2 linked regions of the Sus scrofa genome follow. The protein of the gene in region 1 interacts with the protein of each later gene in a biochemical or structural test. Links are inferred from orthologs where the notes say so. Each region holds a gene or a part of one and is shown in the gene's direction. Other genes may lie near its edges. The genes, in order: GCKR and GCK.

What was found.
Region 2: the proteins of GCKR (region 1) and GCK form a complex in vitro, tested with the Homo sapiens proteins (2 studies listed by BioGRID and IntAct, with this or other methods). The link is inferred for Sus scrofa from reciprocal best matches to the Homo sapiens genes GCKR and GCK.

The regions. Positions count from the first base shown.
Region 1 is NC_010445.4:111,666,959-111,678,704, reverse strand, and holds the start of GCKR (glucokinase regulatory protein), read left to right. Parts: upstream 1-1,449; 5' UTR 1,450-2,003; coding exon 2,004-2,063; intron 2,064-2,410; coding exon 2,411-2,566; intron 2,567-2,754; coding exon 2,755-2,823; intron 2,824-3,461; coding exon 3,462-3,530; intron 3,531-4,174; coding exon 4,175-4,248; intron 4,249-4,590; coding exon 4,591-4,657; intron 4,658-4,807; coding exon 4,808-4,861; intron 4,862-6,162; coding exon 6,163-6,257; intron 6,258-9,937; coding exon 9,938-10,043; intron 10,044-11,746. UniProt on the Homo sapiens protein: Regulates glucokinase (GCK) by forming an inactive complex with this enzyme. Acts by promoting GCK recruitment to the nucleus, possibly to provide a reserve of GCK that can be quickly released in the cytoplasm after a meal.
Region 2 is NC_010460.4:51,004,124-51,015,814, forward strand, and holds the start of GCK (glucokinase), read left to right. Parts: upstream 1-4,795; 5' UTR 4,796-5,170; coding exon 5,171-5,488; intron 5,489-9,811; coding exon 9,812-9,974; intron 9,975-10,789; coding exon 10,790-10,944; intron 10,945-11,691. UniProt on the Homo sapiens protein: Catalyzes the phosphorylation of hexose, such as D-glucose, D-fructose and D-mannose, to hexose 6-phosphate (D-glucose 6-phosphate, D-fructose 6-phosphate and D-mannose 6-phosphate, respectively).

The DNA.
Region 1 (11,746 bases):
GGGTTCTCACCGCCGTCATCACCGCCCCCCCAACCCGGTTCTTTCGGGGCTCCTCCCACGACCCTCTCATTGGCCCCCATCCCTTCTGATCCCGGCACCATCCGAGGAGCCCCGGCGGCAGAGGGGGAGGGGGCGTCGGGAGAGGCGCAGGTGCGAGGGTCTCGGGCACCTGGGAGGCCCCTCCCTCCCCAGATGGAATTAGCCAAGTTGGGAAGAGGAATTCCACCCCCGGTGCGGGAGGGGACAGAGTGATGGAGATAATAATTATTTTGACAATCTCCTACTTGTAGACTGCGTCAGCTTTTAAGTGTCTTCCCCATTCATAACCTGATATTGATTCCCTTCATTCTCTCATTCGTTCCTTCATTTATTAGGCAAATATTTATTGAGCGTCTGACATGTTCAAAGTTGCCGATTCAGCTGTCATTAAGTGTGCTGGGTTTATAGGGGAAATTTAAAGAGCAACGACCTGTTTCTTGTTCTAGCTCTGCGACTTACTTTAGTGTGGCCTTGGACAAATAGGTTAATGTAAGTCTTAGGTTTTCCCACTGTAAATCAGAGCGTGCAGATCCTTACAGGGCTGTTGTGAGGATCAGATGAGACAATGTTGGGGAATGGGCTTTATCAATCTTACAACCCTGTGTGGATGAGAGATTGTTATTCATTTTCACCAGTTTGTCAATTACTTCATTCAATAAACATGGAAATCCTTCAGTTATTTCATGCTTTGGCTGAGCATGAGATCTGGAGGGAGAACTTGGGTATAGGTCCCAATTCTGTCAGCTGTGTGATCTTCACCAACTGACCTAACTTCACGGAGCTTCAGTTTCATCATCTGAAAATTGAAGTATAGTTGATTTACGATACCGTATTAGTTTCAGGTGTGCGGCAAAATGATTCCGCTATATCTGTATCTATATGTATGTATTTTTTTTATCTATTATCCGTTATAGGTTATGACAAATAGTGAAAATAGTTCCCTGTGCTGTACAGTAGGTCCTTGTTGTTTGTCTCTTTGACATATAGTGGGGTGTATCTGTTAATCTCAAAATTCTAGTTTATCCCTTCTTCCCCCCTTTTCCCTTTGGTAATCATAAGTTTGTTTTCTATGTCTATTTCTGTTTTGTAAATAAGTTCGTTTGGATCATTTTTTTTTAAGATTCCACCTATAAATGGTATTGTCTGGTATTTGTCTTTGTCTTTGAGTGGCTTCACTTAGTATGAGACTCTCTAGGTCCACCCATGTTGCTGCCAATGGTGTTAATTTCATTCTTTTAAATATCATCTTCTTAGTGTTATTGTATCTAATGAGATACTGTATGTGAGAAGCATTGTTCAGTAAATAAATGTTGGCTAAAGTTGTATTTAGGGCAGATACTTTCTAATTCTCATTGCAGTATAGCTATTTCTGGGGCACTTCAGTGTGTGCCCCCCTGGGGCTCTGAAGCTTCTGTTGCTTTCCTTCTGAGAGGAGAGGGGAATGGGGCAAGTAGGGCAGGAAGGATTGTGTGTGCTGAGCATGTGATCAAGCCATGCTCCAGGTCCTCCGACCTCTGCTGACCCTGAGAACCCTGATCTCTGGCCTCCTGATGCATCCTGGTTCTGGAGCATGCATGCCCAGGGTTCTTTTTGCCCTGGATCTGGGTATTGTCTTTCTAGGCTCCAGGCCTTCCAGAGAAGACGACATGGTCTGTTGGGCAGGAGTAATGAACCTCCAGTCTTCCTCTTCAGGGGCAAAGCAGAGGCTGTCCCCTTTCCGGGTGCCTGCAAAGGGGGACCTCAGGAACTCCTCTGGGGTGGCCAGAGAGCTGGGGGCCTAGTGACCAGGAAAGGGTGAAGGCAGAAGTGCTCAGAGGGGGTGGTGCTCAGAGAGGCCAGGGTACTTGGGTTAATCATCACTGTGGCTCAGATAAGGGCCTGCCAGCTGGAAGCAGAGTCAGTGGGACAGAAGGGGTTTTGTGGCTGGAGAGGCAGGCTCGACGGTGTGTCCACAGCATTGGACCATGCCAGGCACAAAACGCTTTCAACATGTGATTGAGACCCCGGAGCCTGGCAAGTGGGAGGTGAGACCCTTTCTTCCTGTTGGCCTTCTGGGCTGATTCCTAGAATCCTGTCTCATCGGGACTTCCCTCCACCCCAGGTTTCTGCTCCCCCCCTTCTCCTTCCCATCTTCCTTCCTGGTCTTCTTTCTTTTTTCTTTTTATTAAAGTGTGGTTGATTTACACTGATCTTCTTTCCCTAATAGGCCCAGAGTACCAAGTGCAGGCTAAATGCTGTGTGTGTGTGTGTGTGTGTGTGTGTGTGTGTGTAAGTCCTAGCACTGAGCCCACGGCCACTCCCACCTCCAATTCCGCAGGCCTGAATGAGGCTTTGCTCCCTGCCTGTAACCTTGTCCACCCCCTCCCTCTAGTTGTCCGGGTATGAGGCAGCCCTGCCAATCACGGAGAAGTCAAACCCACTGACCCAGGACCTGGACAAAGCAGATGCCAAGGAGATTGTTCGATTGCTGGGGCAGTGTGATGCTGAGATCTTCCAGGAGGAGGGGCAAGTCATGCCCACATACCAGGTGACCCAGCCCCATCCCCTGGACACTGCAAATAAAGATGCCAGCCCCAGCCCCAACCCCACCTCAACCTCTGCCCTCCCCGACCATGGTCCCTAATTTTTTGAAACTGGAGAGTGTCTCCACCTGACCCCTCACCCCTCCACCCACCGGCCTTTCCTTGGCTGCTGATGCCCGCCTGTTGCCTCCAGCGACTCTACAGTGAGTCCACTCTGACCACCATGGTACAAGTGGCTGGAAAAGTTCAGGAAGTGCTGAAGGTACCAACGCTCCATCCATGCCCTGCTTAGATGTGTGTTGCCCATCCTTGTCTCTTTCCTTCCTCTCCCTTTTTCCCCGTTGATAGAGCTTAGTCCTGCTTTCTCCGGGTCTTCCCTCTTGGATCCTTATGAATGTCTTACTAATGGACAGTAATTGTAATCACTCTTACTGCCTATGGCTTTGTAACCCGCCCTGCGCTTTCATCCGCGTTACCATCACAAAAACCTGGGCAGGTGCTCTTATTGTCTCTGCGTTGTTTTTTTTTTTTTCCCCAGATGGGAAAACAGAGACTTAAGATAATCACTGTAGCTTGCTCCAATACATCGCGACTAACAGTTGCACAATTATGCCGAGTCTGTCTCCCTGTCCGTCTGTCTGTCTATTTAAAGATGACAAAGCTGCTTTCAGCTCGTGCTGGAATAAGCAAGGGTTTGAATAAGTAGCTAAGGTGGGGGTGGGGTGGGGGGGTGTCACACCGAAGTTTCTTGAGCGAATCCAAGGGTCTTTCTGCTACACCATCCTCTCTGTTGTGCTTGCTTTTGGGGTAAGAGGACAGTTCTGTTACTGATGAAGAAGAGAATATGTGGCCCTCGAGCTGAGCTGGGTCCTGGAGACCTGGGCATTTTTCTCCTCTCAGGAGCCTGAAGGGGGGCTGGTGGTGCTGAGTGGAGGGGGCACCTCTGGCAGGATGGCATTCCTCATGTCGGTGAGTACTCTGATCCCCGGGTTGGCTCCCTCTGCCTTCTCTGGGTAACCCTCAGGACCCTAAAGCTCATCATAGCTAAGCTCCTAGGTGGACCCTTCTAGCTCTGGCTCTTTCTTCTCTAAAAGCTTCACCTCAGGAGTTCCTGTTGTGGCTCAGTGGTAACGAACCCAGCTAGGATCCATAAGGATGCCGGTTTGATCCCTGGCCTCACTCAGTGGGTTAAGGATCCAGTGTTGCTGTGAGCGGCAGCATCAGTCACAGACGCAGCTCAGATCCTGCGTTGTGTGGCTGTGGTGTAGGCCTGCAGCTGCAGTGCTCATTCAGCCCCTAGCCTGGGAACTTCCATGTGCCGCGGGTGCAGCCCTAGAAAGCAAACAAAGAAATAAAAGCTCAATCTCACCATGGAGTCCCGTTTCTTCTGAGCCCATCTGAGCTCCACCAGTCTATTGCTAGTGCCTCTACATCCCCCCACACCCCATTAATCATCTCTAAGCCGCATCTTTAAGCATCAGATTCCAAGCAGTGTCAGCTTAAGCACTGACCTGGGAGAGTCATTATACAGCCTCTACCGTGTAGGTGTTGAAAATCCAAGATAACTGTTCCTTCCTTGTCATTCCTCCCTGATGTCCTCTCCCCCTTGGCAGGTCTCCTTTAACCAGCTGATGAGAGGTCTAGGACAGAAACCTCTTTACACATACCTCATTGCAGGAGGAGACAGGTAAGCCCAGCTGGCCTGTGCATATTTAGTTTGGCCTGCACCGTACTTGTTAGAAACTAAGTTTGAATGCTTTTACGTGGAGATGGTGACGGGTTCGCTTTGGTCCCTCCACTCCTTATTGCCTCAGACCTGGCCCACTTCTCATACATATGGGCCCCTGACTAACCCCTGTAGCTAGTTAGGTTTTTCCACCCTATAGGGTGTTTGTTGTGGTGCCCAAGAAATAGCAGGTGCTCGTTCAGTGCTAGTTTTCCCTTCATTCCCTTCTCTTAAAGCAGCCCTAATAAACCATAGGCTTCTGCTTCCCAACCAGTGCCACTGACCTTGAGTCTGTCCTCTTAGGTCTGTGGTGGCCTCTAGGGAGGGGACAGAAGATAGTGCCCTGCACGGGATTGAGGAGCTGAAGAAGGTCTGTGTTTTCCACTGGGGTTACATCGATGCCCCAACATCCAGCCAAAGCCTATTCCCTCTCCTGCTCTTGGCCCTGACATCCCCACAAGTAGGTTTGTACCCTAGAATCCTCTTGGTGGCACCCACCTCACCCTTCCTCCTCTCCTAGGTGGCGGCTGGGAAGAAGAGGGTCATCGTCATTGGCATTTCGGTGGGACTCTCTGTGAGTGTGAGACAGGCTGGGTGGCCCAGTCTCCCCGGAGGGAAGGGGGGAGGGTGGAATAGCATGGAAGAGAAATCAACCGCAATCGTCTAGCTGTAGCTAGAAAACAGGGTTTGCGTAAGGAATTTCGATTTTACTCTCACTAACGGGGATCCGGTTGTATGAATGTGGGACAAGGGGGGAAGGGATCCTGTCTCAGAATAACTGTGTGTCAGTCCGCCAGACAACCAGAACAGATGGAGAGGTCCGGGGGTCGGTGACTGACACCGGCGGGTCAATCCAGTGGGTGCCTGTCTTCGTAAATAACGTTTTATTGGAACACGGCCATTTGCGCTTACATGTGGTCCATGACCACTTTCTCAATTCAACAGGAGAGGTGAATAGTTGGACAGAGATCACAGGGCCCACGAAGCCGAAAATATTTGCTTTCTGGCTCTTTACAGCCAAATCTGACCCCAGACCAGTCCTTTGCTGCTTCAAGGGCGGGCCTCACCCCAGCAGCTTCAGCATCACTTGGGATTTGTTAGAAAGGCAGAGTATCGGGCCTCTCCACCCCAGGCCCAGTGAGTCTGAATCTGCATTTTAGCACGTTTCCCAGGTAGTTTATTTGAGAAGCTCTGGACTAGAGGACCCCAAGTTTCCCCTTCACTCTGCAGCCCTGACTCTGGCTCTTAGAAGTCACTGAGCAGTAACTGGACCCCAGCAAGCGCTAGAAGTGGAATGAGGCACTCGAGAGCAGGACTCTGGCCTCATGGAACTTACAGTTTAGTTCAGTATTTTCTTTTCTTTTCCTTTTTATTTTTTTGGCCTTTTTGCCTTTTCTAGGGCCGCTCCTGCGGCATATGGAAGTTCCCAGGCTAGGGGTCCAATCAGAACTGTAGCTGCCAGCCTATGCCAGAGCCACAGCAATGCGGGATCCGAGCCACGTCTGCAACCTATACCACAGCTCATGGCAATGCCAGATCCTTAACCCACTGAGCAAGGCCAGGGATCGAACCTGAAACCTTATGGTTCCTAGTCGGATTTGTTAACCACTGTGCCACGATGGGAACTCCTAGTTCAGTATTTTCAAACGTTACCGTGCAGAAGATTTCCTGGGAGGAGCTGGTTGTAAATGTAGTCCCATGGGCTCAACACTTCCAATTTGGAACTGGTAGCTTTTAACGGGGCCCAGGAACCTGCATTTAAACAAGCATGGGGGCGGGGATTCCGATGCACATGGTCCTCAGGCAGGACTCGAGTACCCCCCCACCCCCGCCCCGTCCCCATCTTCATGCCCTCCTCTCTCTTCTTGCCACCAGGCTCCCTTTGTGGCGGGCCAGATGGACTACTGCATGGATAACCCAGCCGTCTTTTTGCCGGTCCTGGTTGGTTTCAACCCAGTGAGCATGGCCAGGTGAGCCTACTGTAATGAAAGGTGGTAACTGGCCAGACCCCCAGGGGAGGCGGGGAGGCAACCTAGGAAAACCAAGGGGACAGTCACTAAGGAGAGGGCAGGGCCAATCGGGTCTTGTTCACCAAATCTCAGAATATTAAATATGGGGTGTTGCTGAGCTGATGAGGTTTTTTGTTGATTGGTTGGTTGGTTGGGCTGACTTATGCTCTCCTTTCAGAAAGGATTGAGGGCAGCCAACAAAGGGTGTGTACACAAGAAGGCGTATGTTTGAAGCAGGGAGGGAGGCGTTCTCATTGTGGCTCAGTGGATTAAGAACCCGACCTAGCAGTGTCCCTGAGGATGCAGGCTGGATCCCTGGCCGCCCTCTGTGGGTTTAGAATCCAGGATTGCTGCAAGTTGCAGATGCGGCTCAGATCTGGCGTGACTGTGGCTGCGGCCTCATCTGTGGCTTCAATTCCACTCCTAGCCCGGGAACGTCCATATGCTGCAGGTGCAATGGTTTAAAAAAAAAAAAAGAAAGAAAAAAGAAAAGGCAGAGAGTGAATAAAACTAGATTCTGCAAACAAAATCTTTCTTCAAACAAGAATCAACAGCAGTTCCCATAGTGGCATCAGTGGTTAACAAATCTGACTGGGAACCATGAGGTTGCAGGTTCGATGCCTGGCCTTGCTCAGTGGGTTGAGGATCCGGCGTTGCAGTGAGCTGTGGTGTGGGTCGCAGACGTGGCTCAGATCCCGCGTTGTTGTGGCTGTGGCGTAGGCTGGCGGCTACAGTTCTGATTCGACCCTTAGCCTGGGAACCTCCATATGCCACAGGAGTGACCCTAGAAAAGACAAAAAAAAAAAAAAAAAAAAAAGAATCAACAATAGTGAAGACCTGGACCATCCCTGATAATTTTTGCTACAACTCTGACCAAGAACAGACCCAAGAAAGAATAGAAAGAAAAGCTAAAGTTCCCATGTATCTTGGAAAAGATCTGCTTTGGAATCCAGTTGACCCTATGTAGGGATTTTGAGGAGTGTTTGTTATGGAATCGTGTTGCCAGCTGAGGAAAGGTTGGGTTGATTTCTGCCTTAGAAGGATGTTCATGTCGGTTCAGAGGCAGGAGGGGATTCACATTACCTAGAGAAGTTGAGTCCACGCCAGATCCGCTGACTTTCAAAGTATGAGGCGGCTATGCATTGATTTGTTTTTCGGAGCATATTCGCTGTAATGATCTGTCCCTCATTAATTATACATCAAAATCAATTACGGCATAAACTTGTCATGGTTCAATAACTGCTGTTAAAAGTTTTCAGCCTCCTGGGGTTGTGGGATAGAAATCCTATAAAATTGGATTGTGATGATCATTGTACAGCTATAAATGTAATAAATTCACTGAGAAATAAAAAAAGTTTTCAGCCTCTAAAAAATAAAATAAAGCAGGGGGAGAAGACGCAAGGAAAACGAGGGTCAGCGGATGGAATAGAGTCAGGAAAATGCATACCACAAAGATCTGCATTTCCTTTCTTTCTTTCTTTTCTTTTCTTTTTTTTTTCTGCTTTTTGGGGCCGCACCCGTGGCATACGGAGGTTCCCGGGCTCAGGATCAAATCAGAGTTACAGCTGCCGGCCTACACCACAGCCACAGCAACACAGGATCCTTAACCCACTGAGCAAGGCCAGGGATCGAACCTGCAACCTCCTGGTTCCTAGTCAGATGTGTTTCCACTGTGCCACGACGGGAACTCCAAAGATCTGTATTTTCATCTGAGGAGGGTCTCAAGCATTTTTTTCAAAGACGAGTAGCTGCTGAGTTTTGACTGGCTTCCTAGTCTCCTTTGCTGCCTTAAATTAGAGCCCTTTGTCCTTCATTCCAGAAGCTTCTTTGGTCCCCTCTGGCTACTCACATTCCCCCACCCTGTTCCCCTTTCCTGAGATCCCTGTGCCTCTAGTCACCTCCCTCTTACTCTCTGTCTAAATGGCCACTTTGATCTCAAAGAAGGCCAGTGTCGCAAACCAGTAATGCTCAGGCATGATCCTGTGGATGCCCTGCCTTGAGACTGTTAGGAAAAAGGAGAGAAATTCTTATGTGGGAGGTCTGATGTGGTAGGTTCGGGGTAAGGCCCTGATATATCTAATTTTTGGAAGCATCGCTAGAGATTCTGCTGCACAGCCAGGCTGGGAAAGCTCTGCTAAATAAACCATTGGAGTGGGCTGCCCCGTGAAGCTGAGGGCTTCCCGTCCCTGGAGGTATTCCCGCCGAAGCTTGGTGATTACTCGAGAGCAGCTTGGTGTATTTAGTGGTGGTCTCTGGGAGAGGGACAGCTGAGTTCTCTCTGAGCTCCTTTTTAAACTCCCAGATTCCAGGCCGTGTAGTGTAATTCACACGAAGGTGTAAAAGAGCCTGATCTCTTTTAATGGAGGACTTTCCTTCACCACAAATATATCTGCTGCAGTGGATGCTAATTTCAGGCACTATGACTAAGTGAAATGAAGGATTTCAAACAATGCAGGCGTGGAGATCTTCCAGTTGTTCCTTAAATCAGTAGCTCCCCAACTTGGCTGATCTTCAGAATTGTCTGGGAAGCTTTTTAAAAATATAGATCTGGGGAGCTCCGTGCCAGAACTATTGAAATGCCCTCTCAGGGTGGGCATGGAACCCAGACATGGGTCGTTATTAAAAAACCAAACCTCTGTAGGTAGTTTTGATAACCAGCCAAGTCTGGGAGTCTCAGTTTTCAACCGCACAGTGAACACTGACTCCGCTCTCTGCTGAGGCTTCTTTTCTGTCTTAGGTCTCTAGGAAGTGTCAGAAGTAGTTTGAGGACAAATGATAGGAAACACTTTACCCAATGGGTGTGTTACATGTGCCATGTATTCACTGCAGAAATCCGAGGGATGGGAAAAAAAATAAAAATAGTTCAAGAAGGGATGGAACCTTTGTAGGAATGCAATGATAACAGCAAGCGTGGGAGGCCATAGACAGAAGGAACTCTTTGAGGTCCTGCCGTGATGCGTGATTCACCAGTGATCCCCTTTCAAAGCCAGGAGAGCCAACTGCAGAAGCTCCCCGCTCTTTGAGATCTCTGGGTTGCGCCTGAGCTGAGGGCAAGCCTGTTGCCCTCCTCATCGGCACCTTGTTTTGTTCCTGATCGATTTCTTCAAGGGATGTCTCCTTACTGTTCGTTGCTTCACTTCCTATCTTGCAGCTTGGTTCTTTTAGTGGCAACTGTTACCTCTTCCCTCGGGTAGCAAGGGGTTCACAGTTTGGACAGATTCTAGAATATGTTTCTTGGAACGGGAAAGGCTTCCGATGGACCCTAAGACGGAAAATATGATGGAGATTTTGAGATATTCGGATGATAGGCATTTTCCCAGGGGCTTGCAGAGGGTGCAGCTCGTGTGGTCATGGCCATAGGACCTGCGCGAGGACCAGGACACAGAGTTCTGGGCTCAGGCTGGAACATCACACTCGAGTGTTGGTGCTCTGGGCTTAAACTGCTGGATGTTTTTTTAAGCCTCATCCATGTGGTTCAGGGACACAGCGGCTGCTATGAGCATCAGAGCACATCTCTCTAGGAAGTGGTTGACCTCTGACCCCTACCCCAGGGTGGTCTTTGATCCCAGCTCCCATCCAGGGCCCTTCCTTTAGATCCTCACAGATGATAATTCCCCCCTCTGTCTCTCTGTGGGCCCCAGAAATGACCCCATTGAAGACTGGAGTTCAACGTTCCGGCAAATAGCAGAGCGGATGCAGAAACTGCAAGAGAAACAGGAAGCTTTTGTGCTCAATCCTGCAATTGGGGTGAGACCTGCCCCCTCCCCTCCCCCTTGTCCCTACTTAGGGCCTCCGATTTTAGGTTCTGTTACATCTTGTCTAAATTCCTGGTGTTGTGCGTCTACTAAAATGTTGTAAATCGAACCCTATTTTCTCATTTTGTTTTTCCCCTTAAGATGTTTTATTTCCATTCTGACCTTGTCTCTTGAGTCAGTCATCATTAAACACTTAAATGGTCCAGGGCAGTTTCTGTTTAAAGAAGCTCTTTTGAATCTGTGTGTAGGAAGTATTGAATAAGATAGTGAATTTCTTTTTGTGTCTTTTATACATTTAAATTTCAAATATGGGCTTTTAAGAAAACGTGATGCAGTTGCATTCCTCTGCCTTTCTAAAACTCTCCAAAATTGATGTGGGCCTTCTGAGCCTTCAGTGCGCCTGTTCTTTTTTCCTCTGGATGGTGGCTGCATCTCACTAGCATTGTCTGCCCTTCCTTTGACCTTACAAGGGCCTTAGCCGGATCCCTGCCCCTGCCCCTGCAGCCAGGGATGGGCACATCTGTGCCATTCTCCTTTTTTTTGGCTTTTTAGGGCTGCACTCATGGCATATAGAAGTTCTCAGGCTAGGGGTCAAGTTGGAGCTGCAGCTGCCAGCCTACAGCCACAGCAATGCGAGATCTGAGCCCTGTCTGTGACCTACGTCACAGCTCACAGCAACACCGGATCCTTAACCCACTGAGCGAGGCCAGGGATCATATTTGCATCATCATGGGTACTAGTTGGGTTCGTTACTACTGAGTCACAACAGGAGCTCCTGTGCCATTCTCCTTGATCTTCTTTTTTTTTTTTTTGTCTTTTCTGTTGCTATTTCTTGGGCCGCTCCCACGGCATATGGAGGTTCCCAGGCTAGGGGTCGAATCGGAGCTGTAGCCACCAGCCTACACCAGAGCCACAGCAACGCAGGATCCGAGCCATGTCTGCAACCTACACCACAGCTCACGGCAACGCCGGATCGTTAACCCACTGAGCAAGAGCAGGGACCCAACCCACAACCTCATGGTTCCTAGTCGGATTCGTTAACCACTGCGCCACGACGGGAACTCCTTTGATCTTCCTTTTGTGAGATAGGAAGGCAGGGATTCCATGTGACACACAAGCTCTGTATCTTTCATCTTCCAGATGCTCATCTTTTCCTTTCTGTAGTTACTTACTTTTTTGTTGTTGTTGTTTTGTTTTTTAGGGCCACACCCATGGCATATGGAGGTTCCCAGGCTAGACGTCGAATTGGAGCTACAGCTGCCGGCCTACACCACAGACACAGCAACACGGGATCCAAGTGGCTTCTACAACCTACACCACAGTTCACAGCAACGCCAGATCCTTAACCCACTGAGGGAGGCCGGGGATCAAACCCTCAACCTCATGGTTCCTAGTTGGATTCATTTTCACTGCATCACAATAGGAACTCCTGCAGTTACTTATTTTTAATCTTCTTTTCTCAGACACTGCTTTTATCATTCTTTTTGCTGTAGTCTCTTTATCTGTTTGGTGTGTCATGGTGCATATCTGTACAATCACAATCAGAGGTTGCTTCATCGGTCTGTCCAAAGAACATGAAATGTGGTGTTTGGATTAACAAACTGCTTTTTATTTATTTAAAAAAAATTTTTTTTTTCTGGTCTTTTTGCCTTTTCTAGGGCCACACCTGCAGCGTATGGAGGTTCCCAGGCTAGG
Region 2 (11,691 bases), on another chromosome or scaffold:
TTCTTTTATGCACAAAGTTTTTAATTTTGATGAAGTCTAATTTCTCCAGTTTTTCTTTTGTTGCATGTGCCTTTGGTGTCATATGTAAGAACAATTATTGCCAAATTCAAGATAATGAAGATTTGCCCCTAGGTTTTCTTCTAAGAATTTTATGGTTTGAGCTTCTTGAATGTGTATATTCATGTATTTCATCGTATTTGGGAAGTTAAGCCATTATTTGTTCAAATACCTTTTTCTGCCTCTTTCCATCTCTCTTCTCCTTTTGGAACTCCCACAAGACTTATGTTGTGTGTTTTATGGTGTCCCAAGTCTCTCAAGTTCTGTTCATTTTATTTGGTTCTTTTTCCTTTCTGCTAGGCAGATTGAGTAGGTTCAACTCCCTATCTTCACCTTCATTGATTCTTTCTTCTGCCTGTTCAAATCTATGGTTGAAGCCCTCCAGCAGTTTTTTTTTTCTTCCCATTTTAGCTATTGTGCTTTTCAGCTCCAAAGTTTCTATTTGACTTCTTTCTATAATTTGTGCCCAGTGCTCACTTACAAGCCATCAGTGGCCTCTCCCTTCATCAGGTACTCCTCTGGTTGCTACAGGTGTCCAATCAGGCTTATTTTGATTTTTTTTCCTGGGGTATTGGTTGTTTTTGTGGAGGGACTCACCCCTGGAGCTTCCTACTCCACCATTTTCTGTGATGTCATCCTCTTTTCAGACAATAAGCTTCATTGATTTACAGAGGGCGTGGCATCAAAGAGGCTGTGCCACCTGTCTGCTTCTTAGAAAACTCTGAAATTATCAGCAGGCATGAGGGTGGGAGTTTGGCTTTAGATCTGCCATAGATCTAGGACTTTGGACAGCCTGTGTTCTGAACTCTGACCCAGAGGCTAAGGATCCTTTGGTAGTGAAAATAGCTACATATTATTGAACAACTTGTATTGCCAAGAGTCTTACCTGCATTTTCCCTTCAAAGCCCCTCAATGGCCCTGTGAGGTAGGTAAGGTGTTACCTCCACTTTACTGATGAGGAAGTTGAGGCCTATACCATTTAGGGACTTATCCAAGTCCTACAGCCAGTGAATGGAAGAGACTTCACACTCAGGCAGGTGACCTCATGCTCCTGTGTGACTACAACGTTATCCTGCCTCCCTGGAAGATCCCCAAGCCTGCCTTCCTCTCCCCAGTCACACTGCTCCTCACCCACACTCTGCCTCTCTCCCTCCCATGACCCCAGCCTTTAGGCGTCACCTCTGACACCTGACCCCAGGCCTCCAGCCCACCCCTGCTCTCAGAGGCAAATGCCAGGCAATGCAAAGGGTGGCAGCTCCTGCTGCTCCCACCCCCACCAGCCGAAGCTGAGGTCTCTGAAAATCTCCAGCCCAGAAGCCGCTCTAGAGGCTATTTCCTGACCCCCAGCATGTGCTCGGCCCTGAAGGAACCTCCCCATCTAGTCAGGAAGACTAAACTGTCAGCACACCTGGAGGCAGGCTGACCTAGGGGTGAGTCCTGGCTAAGTTGCTTACGGCCCTGGGATCTTACTCCCACAGGCTTTAGTTTCCCCACATTTAAAATGACTACCTCAAGCTTGCAGGCCAGTTGTGATCCACATGCAGCTCGTAGTATAGCAGCTGGCATGTGACGCCCCTGGGCCCCCACCAGCTGTGGTCATCGTGACCCCAGCCCACTCTGCTGTCTCTCGGCCCCTCTCCCCCTTGCTTCTGTCCCTGATGCCCTGTTACCCCAGGCCCCTGGCCTGCCCTTCCACAAGGGCACCGCCAATCCCCGTCTGCCTTTGCTCTAAGCAAACACTTGCAACACTGTGCTGACCTCCTGGCCCCATTGCATCAGCTCAGGGAGTGCCCACACGGTTGCCCAGCTGGTTAGGCCACAGGAGAGGGGCTGGCATGCTGGCGGCTCTGGTTCCCAGCCCCACTTTCTTTCCCACTGTGATATGGGGACTGGAAATTTGACCCATTTAACTATGAGCCTCCATTTTCCAGAGTCTGGGCCTTAGAGCCTCAGTGCAAAATTAGCAGGTAAGGCCCAACTGTTTTGTTTTTTTAACTTCTTTTTAAAATACTGCTTTATGGAGTTCCCATCATGGCTCAGTGGAAACAAATCCAACTAGGAACCATGACGATGCGGGTTCGATCCCTGGCCTCGCTCAGTGGGTTAAGGATCCCATGTTGCCGTGAGCTGTGGTGTAGTTTGCAGATGTGGCTCGGATCCCACGTTGCTGTGGCTGTGGCATAAGCCAGCAGCAACAGCTCTGATTCGACCCCTAGCCTGGGAACCTCCATATGCCGCAGGTGCTGCCCTAAAAAGACCAAAGACTAAATAAATTAATTAATTAATTAAATAAAGTGCTACTTCATTAATGCACATTGCAGAAAAATGTAGGACTTACAGGTAAACAAGAAGGAAAATGAAGTCACTCATATTGTCACCAAGATAACTGCTATTGCCATTTTGCTCTATTTCCCCCATGTGTTTATTATGTATAATATATATATGCAGACAAAAATTGATTGTGCTATATTTTATAACTATTTTTCCTCAGTATTTATCATCCATTGCTACATAAAAACATTACATCAAGATTTTGTGGCTTGAAACAACAAACCTTTATCATCTCCCGTTATTTCTGTGGGTCAGGGACCCGGCCGTGGCTGGGCTGGGGGTGGGGGGCAGTGCTGGCTCGGTGTCTCTCCTGAGGTTGTAGTCAAGATGTTGGCTGGAGCTGCATTATCTGAAGGCTCGACTGGGGCCGCTGGATCTGCTCGCAAAGAGGCCTGCTCACCTGCCTGGCACGTGGGAGCTGCCCATTAGCAGGAGGCCTCAGTTTTTCTCAGCGGACTCCCCCCCGCTTAGAACCTGAGGGTCCTCATGGCCTGGCGCTGGCTTCCCCCCAGATGAAGAATCCAATAGGAAGGAAAGTGGAAACGTCCACGCCTTGGATGGCCTCCCTCAAAGTCCCACTCCGTCTCTTCTGCAATAGCCTGTCCGTCACACAGGCTAGGCCTGGTCGGCATGCGAGGGGCCTGCACGGGGTGAATGAAGGCCAGGCGTGGGGCTCACTGGAGGCCCTCTTAGGGTACAGTCACCACGTTTTCATTCAACAGTGTCATGAACATCTTTCCATGCCAGTGGAAGCAGATCAATCTTATCATTTTAAACGACGGACTATACATGTACCATAATTTACTTAACCAGTTTCCTAAAGTGACACGTGTGGATTATGTCCTACTTTTTGATCTTGGAAAGAGTAACCTAGAACATTCATCACCGAACTTGTCAGATTACTTCCTAGGGATAAATTGAAAAGAAAATTAAATCATGCCTGTCAGTCAGCTCCTTGAGCAACCAAGGGATGAAGATACCAACTGGACACAGAGCAAGGTCCCTCTGATCCTGCTTCAAATGCCCCACGCCTCTCTCCACATTCAATGGGGAGCTCACCATCTGCAGAGACATCCTAGCCCATTGCAGGACAGCTCTGTTTTGAGAAAGGCTAAGCAGAAGCTGCATTCATCCGTCCTCGGGATATTGTCCTGGAGACCTTGAAGACTCCGAGAAAGTCCCGGCCATCCCTCGGAAGCCATTGTCTCTGAGGCCCTCCCTTTCCTGCCCTCTTCCCTGGGGATATAGGGCTCCTCGCCTCCAGCCCAGTGCTGACCCTCTAGTGTCACTCCCTCCCCCAGAGAGGAGGCGGTGAGACAGGGCACACCTCCTGTGAGGTGAGCAGAGGAGAACTAGCATGAGGCATGCTGGCTCTGGAGGATTGATTCCAGAAGTGGGGGTGTTGGACTTCTTCCTGCCCTCGCAGGTGCTGGGGAAGGCAAGGAGGTGGCCCCACGGAAGGGCTCTGGGGAAGGATGCTTGCTGGTCAACGTGCAAGCTAAAGAAGGCACAGGAAATCCAGCAGACCAGAAAGGGGCCCTTCGGATCTCCACCCCAGCCCTTGTCCACTCCCACTTCCCAGAGGACAGAGCTGCAAGATTCTGATCCTCTTGCCAGGTGCTATGTGCCTAGACCTGGAGGAGGACAGTTGCATCTTGGCCCGGCTGGTCCAGAAGGTACCCCGCTCCAAACCCAAGTGCCAGCCCTCCGCACCTCCCACCCCCATGCAAACAGTGGCTCAGAGCCAGGGGCTGGTGGGACGGTGACCTGTCACATGCAGGTCCGGTGGAGCCCTTTTTGCTCTATTTTGGGAAAGGGATCAATCGTGTCAAGGGCTTCCTCAGGGATGACCGCACCGGCCACTGGCGGGAGAGCCTGGCATTCTGTCAAGCGGCCGTTCCCCGCCCCGGCCCTCTTGCGAGCTCCTGCTAATTTTAGCAGGGCTTGGCAGATGCTGGCCTCTCCGGACAGGACAAGTTCACTCCCAGGCGGGGAGCTGGGAGGGGGAAGGGAATGGTTCTTGAAATGAGCTCCGGCCTGGACTTTGCAGGCTCCAAACCCAAGAATGACCTTCCCCAGCTTTTGAGGCAGGTTTTGACAATTTACAGTTGAAGACCTCTGATGAAAACAAGCATTTTTTATTTAGGGGGCAGCCCTGGGGTGGGGGTGGGGTGGGGGAAGCCGTCCAGATGGTGCCCCGCCTCTGCCTGCTTCCCACCTCCTCCCCCACCAGCCCGACTCCCCCTCCTCCCCACCCCTCCTCCCCCACCCCCTGCCCCGCCCCCGCCTCTGCCCCTGGCCTGGGCCTGGCCCTCATTGACCCAAATGAGTTCTACGCATCCCCAAGCCCTCCCAACCAACCTGGCAGCCTGACTGGCCAAATGTGGAGGCTTCTCTCCTAAGAGAGAAGGGGAGAGTCCTGGGAGTCTCGCGCATCTCAGCCTCTGCACCCCTGCTTCCTGAGGGATCTACCTTGCTCAGGGCCCCTGCCACCAGCCTGCCTCTCCTGGGCCCAAGTACAGCACAGGCTCTCTGGGTGAAAATCAGCCAGGGATCCCCCAAGGCCAAGCCTAGAATCTTCATCCTGCACGGGGCCAGCTCCTCAGCAGTCCCCTGCCAGGCCCTTTGGGGTGCTTTCCTGGCCTGGGCAGCATGGCGACGGCCAACCCTGGCCTGTCCAAGGGCTGGAAGTATATAGACTGGTTCTGACCCCTCCCAGAACCTCTGGGCAGCAAATCCCCATCCTAATGGGCTGAGGTCGCCACCCCACAGCCCTGTCTCCATGTTGTCTGTCACCACCCCTACCCCATGCCGGCCTCCTGCCCTTCCGGCTCTGCCTGACCCTGTGCCAGTGGGCAGAGTATTTCAACAGCCGCCTGCTGAATGCTCTCAGTGCCAAAGCCCTGGGCAGCCCGCGTGGGTGACTCTCTGGGTAGGTGGCCCGCACCTGCACAGGTGGGCCTCAGACTCCCGGGCTGCAGCCCAGCCCTGCGCCTCTGCAGACAGGAGTGTCTCCACCTCCCCAGAACCAACCTCTTGGCCCCTCAGAGAGATGGCAACGGAGGCCACAAGGAACTGGGCCTGGACAGCCTTGAATCTGGTAAGGGTCACCCCAAGGCCAGGGCTAGTCGTCCCCAGGGCCGGGGCCGAGGCAGGTTCTTCCTGCGCCAGCAGCATGACTGGTTTGGTGGAGTGGAGGTTGGGGTGGCGCTGGGCCCTCCGGAAGGAGGCACCCTGGCTATGAGGCAGTTGGCCCCTGCTGACACCCACTGTCCAACCTCTTCAGGGAGGGTCTTCAGGGACAGCATCTTCGAGGGGACATGCTCTTGGGGCTGCCAGTGCCAGGCTGTCCCCTGAGCTCCAGCCTCCTGCACATAGCCAACCACCACTTGGCACCTGTCTCCCCGTGGCTACCGGGCCGACATGCCGAGACCCAGCCGATTTCCGCACGGCCACCCACCCCTTCTCCGTGCGTGGAAGCTCTCTTCCCAGCGCTCAGCCATCCCTATGCCATGGTCCTGAAGGCCACGGGGCGGTCAAGGCCACGGGCTGTACAGATTGGAAGAAAAGCGGGAGGGGCCGAGCTGGGGGGGCGAGGATGACAGGGACTGGGTCTGTGGGGCTCCACGCAGACAGCTGTCTCCTTTCTGCCACACTCACGCTTTGGGCTCAGGAGAGAAGGCAGGCTCCATTCTACAGATGAGGAGACGGAGGGGAAGGCCTGGAGGTGCTTCCCACCCCTGCCTCACAGAGGCCCTGGGAACATCCCCGGTTCTCCTTTAAGCCTAATCCCCTGGGGATACAGGCATTTTTATTATCGCCACTCCCTACAGGCAAGGAAACTGAGCACAGAGGCACGCCCTCCCGGGCCACAGAGCCAGAGGCTCAGTTCTGGCTTTGAACCCAGGTTCCGGCTCCTAGCCCACCACCCCTCCCCATCCGCCGGGCTACCAAGCCCCTCCCAGAGTCCAGCCCTGCGAGGCTGCAAAAGCCTCAGCTGGCTTAAAGTTCTCCTCGAGCAGCCTGGGGCATGCTGCACAGACGGAGCTTGTCCCCTGCCCCCTGCCCCACAGCCCCTGCCTGCTGGCCAGGAGGTCTCAGGAACACACTGTCAAGCTCACAGCCATGCCCAAACATGGGAGGGCCTCCTGCCCGAGCAATTCTTCCACACTCCAGCCAGGGCCACTGCCATCTGACAGTGCCATGGCCCCCTGGGACCCCGGCTTCTGGTGCCCTGGCCTGGGACTTGGCAGGAGGAGAACAGGATGGCCCCGGGGCTCTCAGGGGCTCTCCTATCCTGGTTGTCCTGGGATCCTCCAGGCAGGCCTGGCGTTGGCAGGTTGGGGATCCTCTTCCCCAGGAGTATGTGCCAACAGGCCCAGGGTCACCCACTGTGTGTACATAGCCACCCAGCTGCAGGGTGGCTCACGACAGGGCTCACCCTGCCCCCTAGGGCCCAGGGATGGGCTTTGGAGCCCTTGGGGCCTCCAGCGTTTGCAGAGGCCCCATTCCCTGGCCCTTTGACTTCAGCCCCACCCACACCCACCTGGGTACATGCCCGCACGTTGGAGCCCCTTCCTCTTAAAGTTGCAGGCTCCATGTGTGCAGCATCTGCAGGCCCCACCAACACACCTGAGGGAGGGGCTTGTACCACCTTGGAGGACGCTTCACCCAGCCAGAGGGGAGATCTGCTGGAAGCCTGTGCCAACTCGTGGCCACCTGGAGTGTTGGGCTGTGGCCATGGAACTTTCCAGCACCCTTCTCAACCTGTGCCACAGGGGCCTGGGGTGAAGCCATGGGAACATGGCCCCTCATGAGTCCAGGCTCACAGCCTCGGGGTGGGCTGCAGTGACAGAAGGAGAGCAGACGACCCCAGCAGGGCCTGAGGGCTGGGGCTTTGCAGGATGAGCATCACTTTTGTTCAGAGCCCACGAGGTCCACAGTTCTGTTTTGAGAGCAATGCCAGGCAGCCTCTTTTTTTTTTTTTTTTTTTTCTTTTTAGGCCCTGGGGCTCTCAGCATATGCAAGTTCCCAGGTTAGGGGTTAAATCGGAGCTGCAGCTGCCGGCCTTCACCACAGCCACAGCCATGCAGGATCCGAGCCACATCTGCAACCTACACCACAGCTCATGGCAACACTGGATCCTTAATCTACTGAGCAAGGCCAGGGGTCAAACTCGCATCCTCATGGATAATAGTCAGGTTCCTAACCCACTGAGCCATAACAGGAACTCCTCAGGCAGCCTTTTCTGACAGCAGCCCTTGTGCATGAGGCTCTGGATCCTGGTTTCCCATGGTGCACTGGCTGCATGTGCCTGCATCTCAACAACCAGGCATGTTGGAAGAAATCGGCAAATTAGTTAATGTTACTATTTATTCCTGACATTTTAAAAGAGAAAGATGGTCTGAAAAAAGGACAGACAGAACTTCTTTGCAGAACAGATACTGACTCACAGACTTTGAAAAACTTATGGTCTCCGGAGGAGACAGTTGGGGGGGGTGAGGGGATGTGCTTGGGCTGTGGGATGGAAATCCTGTGAAATCAGATTGTTATGATCATTATACAATAAAGATGTGATCAATTCATTTGAGTAATAAGAAAAATTAAAAATAAATAAATAAATAAATAAATTTTTTAAAAAAAGAGAAAGACGGGGCAGGCAGAGCTGAAGGCGTGGGCCTCTGAGGCCAGCCTGCAGCCTGGATCATTTCACAGGGCATGAGGGCCTCTCCAGGGCTGCACCTTGCAAGGCCAGCCTTGGGGTGGGCTACACCTCCACCCCATGCCAGGGCTGCAGAGTGGCTTAGCAAACACTGGTGTTTGATTGGGTGTTTTGTCATAGGCTTTGTCAGCCTCATCCCTTTGTGACCTTCCCTGGGTTTAAATTTTAAGTGTGGGGGTCTCAATAAAAGAATTGGTTCCTGGAGTTCCCGTGGTGGCTCAGACAGTTAAGAACCCGACTAGCATTCGTGAGGACACAGGTTCGATCCCTGGCCTCGCTCAGTGGGTTAAGGATCTAGCATTGCTGTGAGCTGTTGTGTAGGTTGCAGACATGGCTTGGATCCTGTGTGGCTGCAGCTGCAGCTCTAAATCGACCCTTAACCCGGGAACTTCCATATGCTGCAGCCACAGGTGCAGCCCTAAGAAGAAGAAGAAGAAGAAGAAGAAGAAAAGAGTTCGTTCTAAGTAAGGATCTGTATCCATTAGGAATGCTTTGGGCTGCAGGAAGCTAAACACCCAACTAGCTGGTCTTCAGTGATCAGCGTTTGCTCCCCAAACCAACATTTAGAAGTGGGTGGATCCAGGGTTGGCTCAGCACATCAATCAAGGGTGGGCTCACTCTGTTTCTCTCCTCCACCATCTATAATGTGCTGACAGCTTTTTCCCCTCAGCCTCATGGCTCAGGATGGCTGCTGCAGTGCCAGTCATCACACCCTTACAGAGCTGTGTTCACAAAGTGAGAGGGGCATTGACCTTCCCAGAAGGCCCTTCTTCTTCTAAAATCAGGCTTCCCTTCATCTGATTGGCCAGATGCCCAACTGGCCACATGCCCAACTCTAAACCAAATCACTAGCAGAAGAGGATAGGATAGCAGTGCTTGGCTTAGCCCAATCACAGGCTGTCTCCTGGGCCTGGGGAGGGGCTGCCTTCCTTTAATGTGATGGTCCCCCCACCCCCAACAACATGTGGACTCCCAAAACTGAGGAAGAAGGGGCAAATATCTCTGTTGCCTCCTGATTCGAATTCAGGGCATTTCCACCCCCAAGCTTGCATGGAAGACTGCAGGCAAGAGAGTGAGTTTTTGAGAAGAGCGGGTCTATGGCTTTTATCCAAGTATCTTCCCTTTCCTTTTTGGTCCAAATATCCAGTGAATTGTCGGAGTTCCATTGCGGTTCAGTGGCAGTGAATCTGACTGGTAGCCATGACGATGCAAGTTTGATCCCTGGCCTCATTCAGTGGGTTAAGGATCTGGCGTTGCCATGAGCTGTGGTGTAGGTCTCAGAAGAGGCTCGGATCCCGAGTTGCTGTGGCTGGGGTGTCGGCCAGCTGCCATAGCTCCAATTCCATCCCTAGCCTGGGAAACTCCATATGCCTCGGGTGTGGCCCTAAAATGATAGATAGATAGATAGATAGAAAGAAGGATAGATAAATGAATAAATGGAGGCGCCACATCTGCCCTTTGCCCCTCACCCTCCCACCTGCTGCATTTTTTGAGAAGCTGGTGTGGCACTCTGCTGTCCTCGATATTCAACTGGTTTTAATTGTGGTAGTTTGAAATGATGGGTCATCCTGGACCCAGGGTCAGGGGGCAAAAGGAGACCCCTCGGTGCATTTGAGGAAATACCCACTCCTCAGTCCCCCCTCCCCAGCGCTGCACGGCCCTTCCCCCACCCAACTGCTCCCCACCCCCCTCCCTGTGCAGGCGGAGCAGATCCTGGCGGAGTTCCAGCTGCAGGAGGAGGACCTGAAAAAGGTGATGAGGCGGATGCAGAAGGAGATGGACCGAGGCCTGAGGCTGGAGACCCACGAAGAGGCCAGTGTGAAGATGCTGCCCACCTACGTACGCTCCACCCCAGAAGGCTCAGGTACCGGGGTCCAGGGCAGGGGTGGGCCCCATGTGGGAACCAGCAGCTCCTCACCCAGAGGCAGCTGTCCTCAGGCCCCAGTGGGGAGAAGGCCCTCAGGCCCTTCCTAAGGGCTCTGACTGTCCGGTCCCCAGTATGCTGGGCTCCAGACCCTGGGCAGTTCCCAGCCTCTGCTCCACTGGCCCAGCCCTGGGGCTTTCAGACTCATCCTGGCTTCAGGAAAACTGGGTTTTTGTCTTTTGGTTTTTTTGTTTTTTTTAATATTTCACAATGAGAGGAGTTCCCGTCATGGTTCAGTGGTTAATGAACCCAACTGACATCTTTGAGGACACGGGTTCAATCCTTGGCCTCACCCAGTGGGTTAAGGATCTGGTGTTACCCTGAGCTGTAGTGTAGGTTGCAGACACGGCTCAGATCCCAAGTGGCTTTGGCTCTGGCGTAGACCGGGGGCTATAGCTCCGATTCGACCCCTAGTCTGGGAACCTCCACATGCTGCGGGTACAGCCCTAGAAAGACACACACACACACAAATTTCACAATGAGAAACTGGTTTCTCATGGTCCTTAGGGGGACTCCCAGCCCAGTCTTGAGTCTGGGCCATTTCACTAGGTCTTCAAGTGGGCCCTGGGCTCAGGGTGACTTCAGTCCAAGGCAAGTGAGTCCCACTGACTTCTCCAGTTCACCTCTGACCCTTTGCCCAGTTTACCCTGGGGTTTCCCCCACCCCATGTCCAGCTCTGCTGGTCTCCCAGTCTTGGGGTCCTGCTGGGCAACACCCCTGAGACTGATGTGCTCCCCCCCTCCCCGTGACTTCAGAGGTTGGGGACTTCCTCTCCCTGGACCTGGGCGGCACCAACTTCAGGGTGATGCTGGTGAAGGTGGGGGAAGGCGAGGAGGGGCAGTGGAGTGTGAAGACCAAGCACCAGATGTACTCCATCCCCGAGGACGCCATGACCGGCACTGCTGAGATGGTGAGCAGCTCGGGCTGGGGGCTGGGAGGCTGGGAGCCGGGAGGCCGCACCGCCCAGGATCTCAGAGCTTGCTAGTCCTGGAGGGAGGGCCCACTGGTGCATCGGGGCTGGGGGAGCGGTGGTCCCTGCTTCAGGAGGAAGAGGCAACCGAGAGGCCTAGGTGGCCGGCCCCCGGCCTGGCTCCAGCAGGTCGCAGCCCTGCCCAGTTTCCCAGAAGAATCAGAAACGTGGCAAGGCAGCTGAGAGAACACGCTGGTCCAACAGGGACACAGCTGACCGCCTCCCCCGGTGGCACCCCTCCCCACCTCAGCATGGACGCCAGGGGCATGACTGCAATTGCAGCATCTGCCCAGGCAGCGAGACCACCCTGACCCTGGGAGGGCTCAAGAAGGAGCACAGGAGTAGAATGAGCCCTGTGGGGAGTGGGGGCCGGGGAGCTGGAGCCAGAGGGGCAGGGTTTCAAGCTAGGAGGCCTGTGGCAGCCTGGTCCTCGCCACACCCGCGCCTACTGAGGAACCGGGTAGGAATCAAGGCAGCAGGGATGGTGTGGGGGCCTCTCCGGGCCCTGGCACCCATCAGGGAGCTTAGTCAATCAGCAGAGTACTCAGTAATGCCCAGTTCTGGGGACAGGCCTGCATGAGCGGGATGGCCACTGGTTCTCCCAAGAGCCAGGGATGGGGCAGCCAGGACCCTAGGAGGCAGCAAAGAGGACTCTGGGAGCTGGAATCAGAAATCATCGCCATAGCC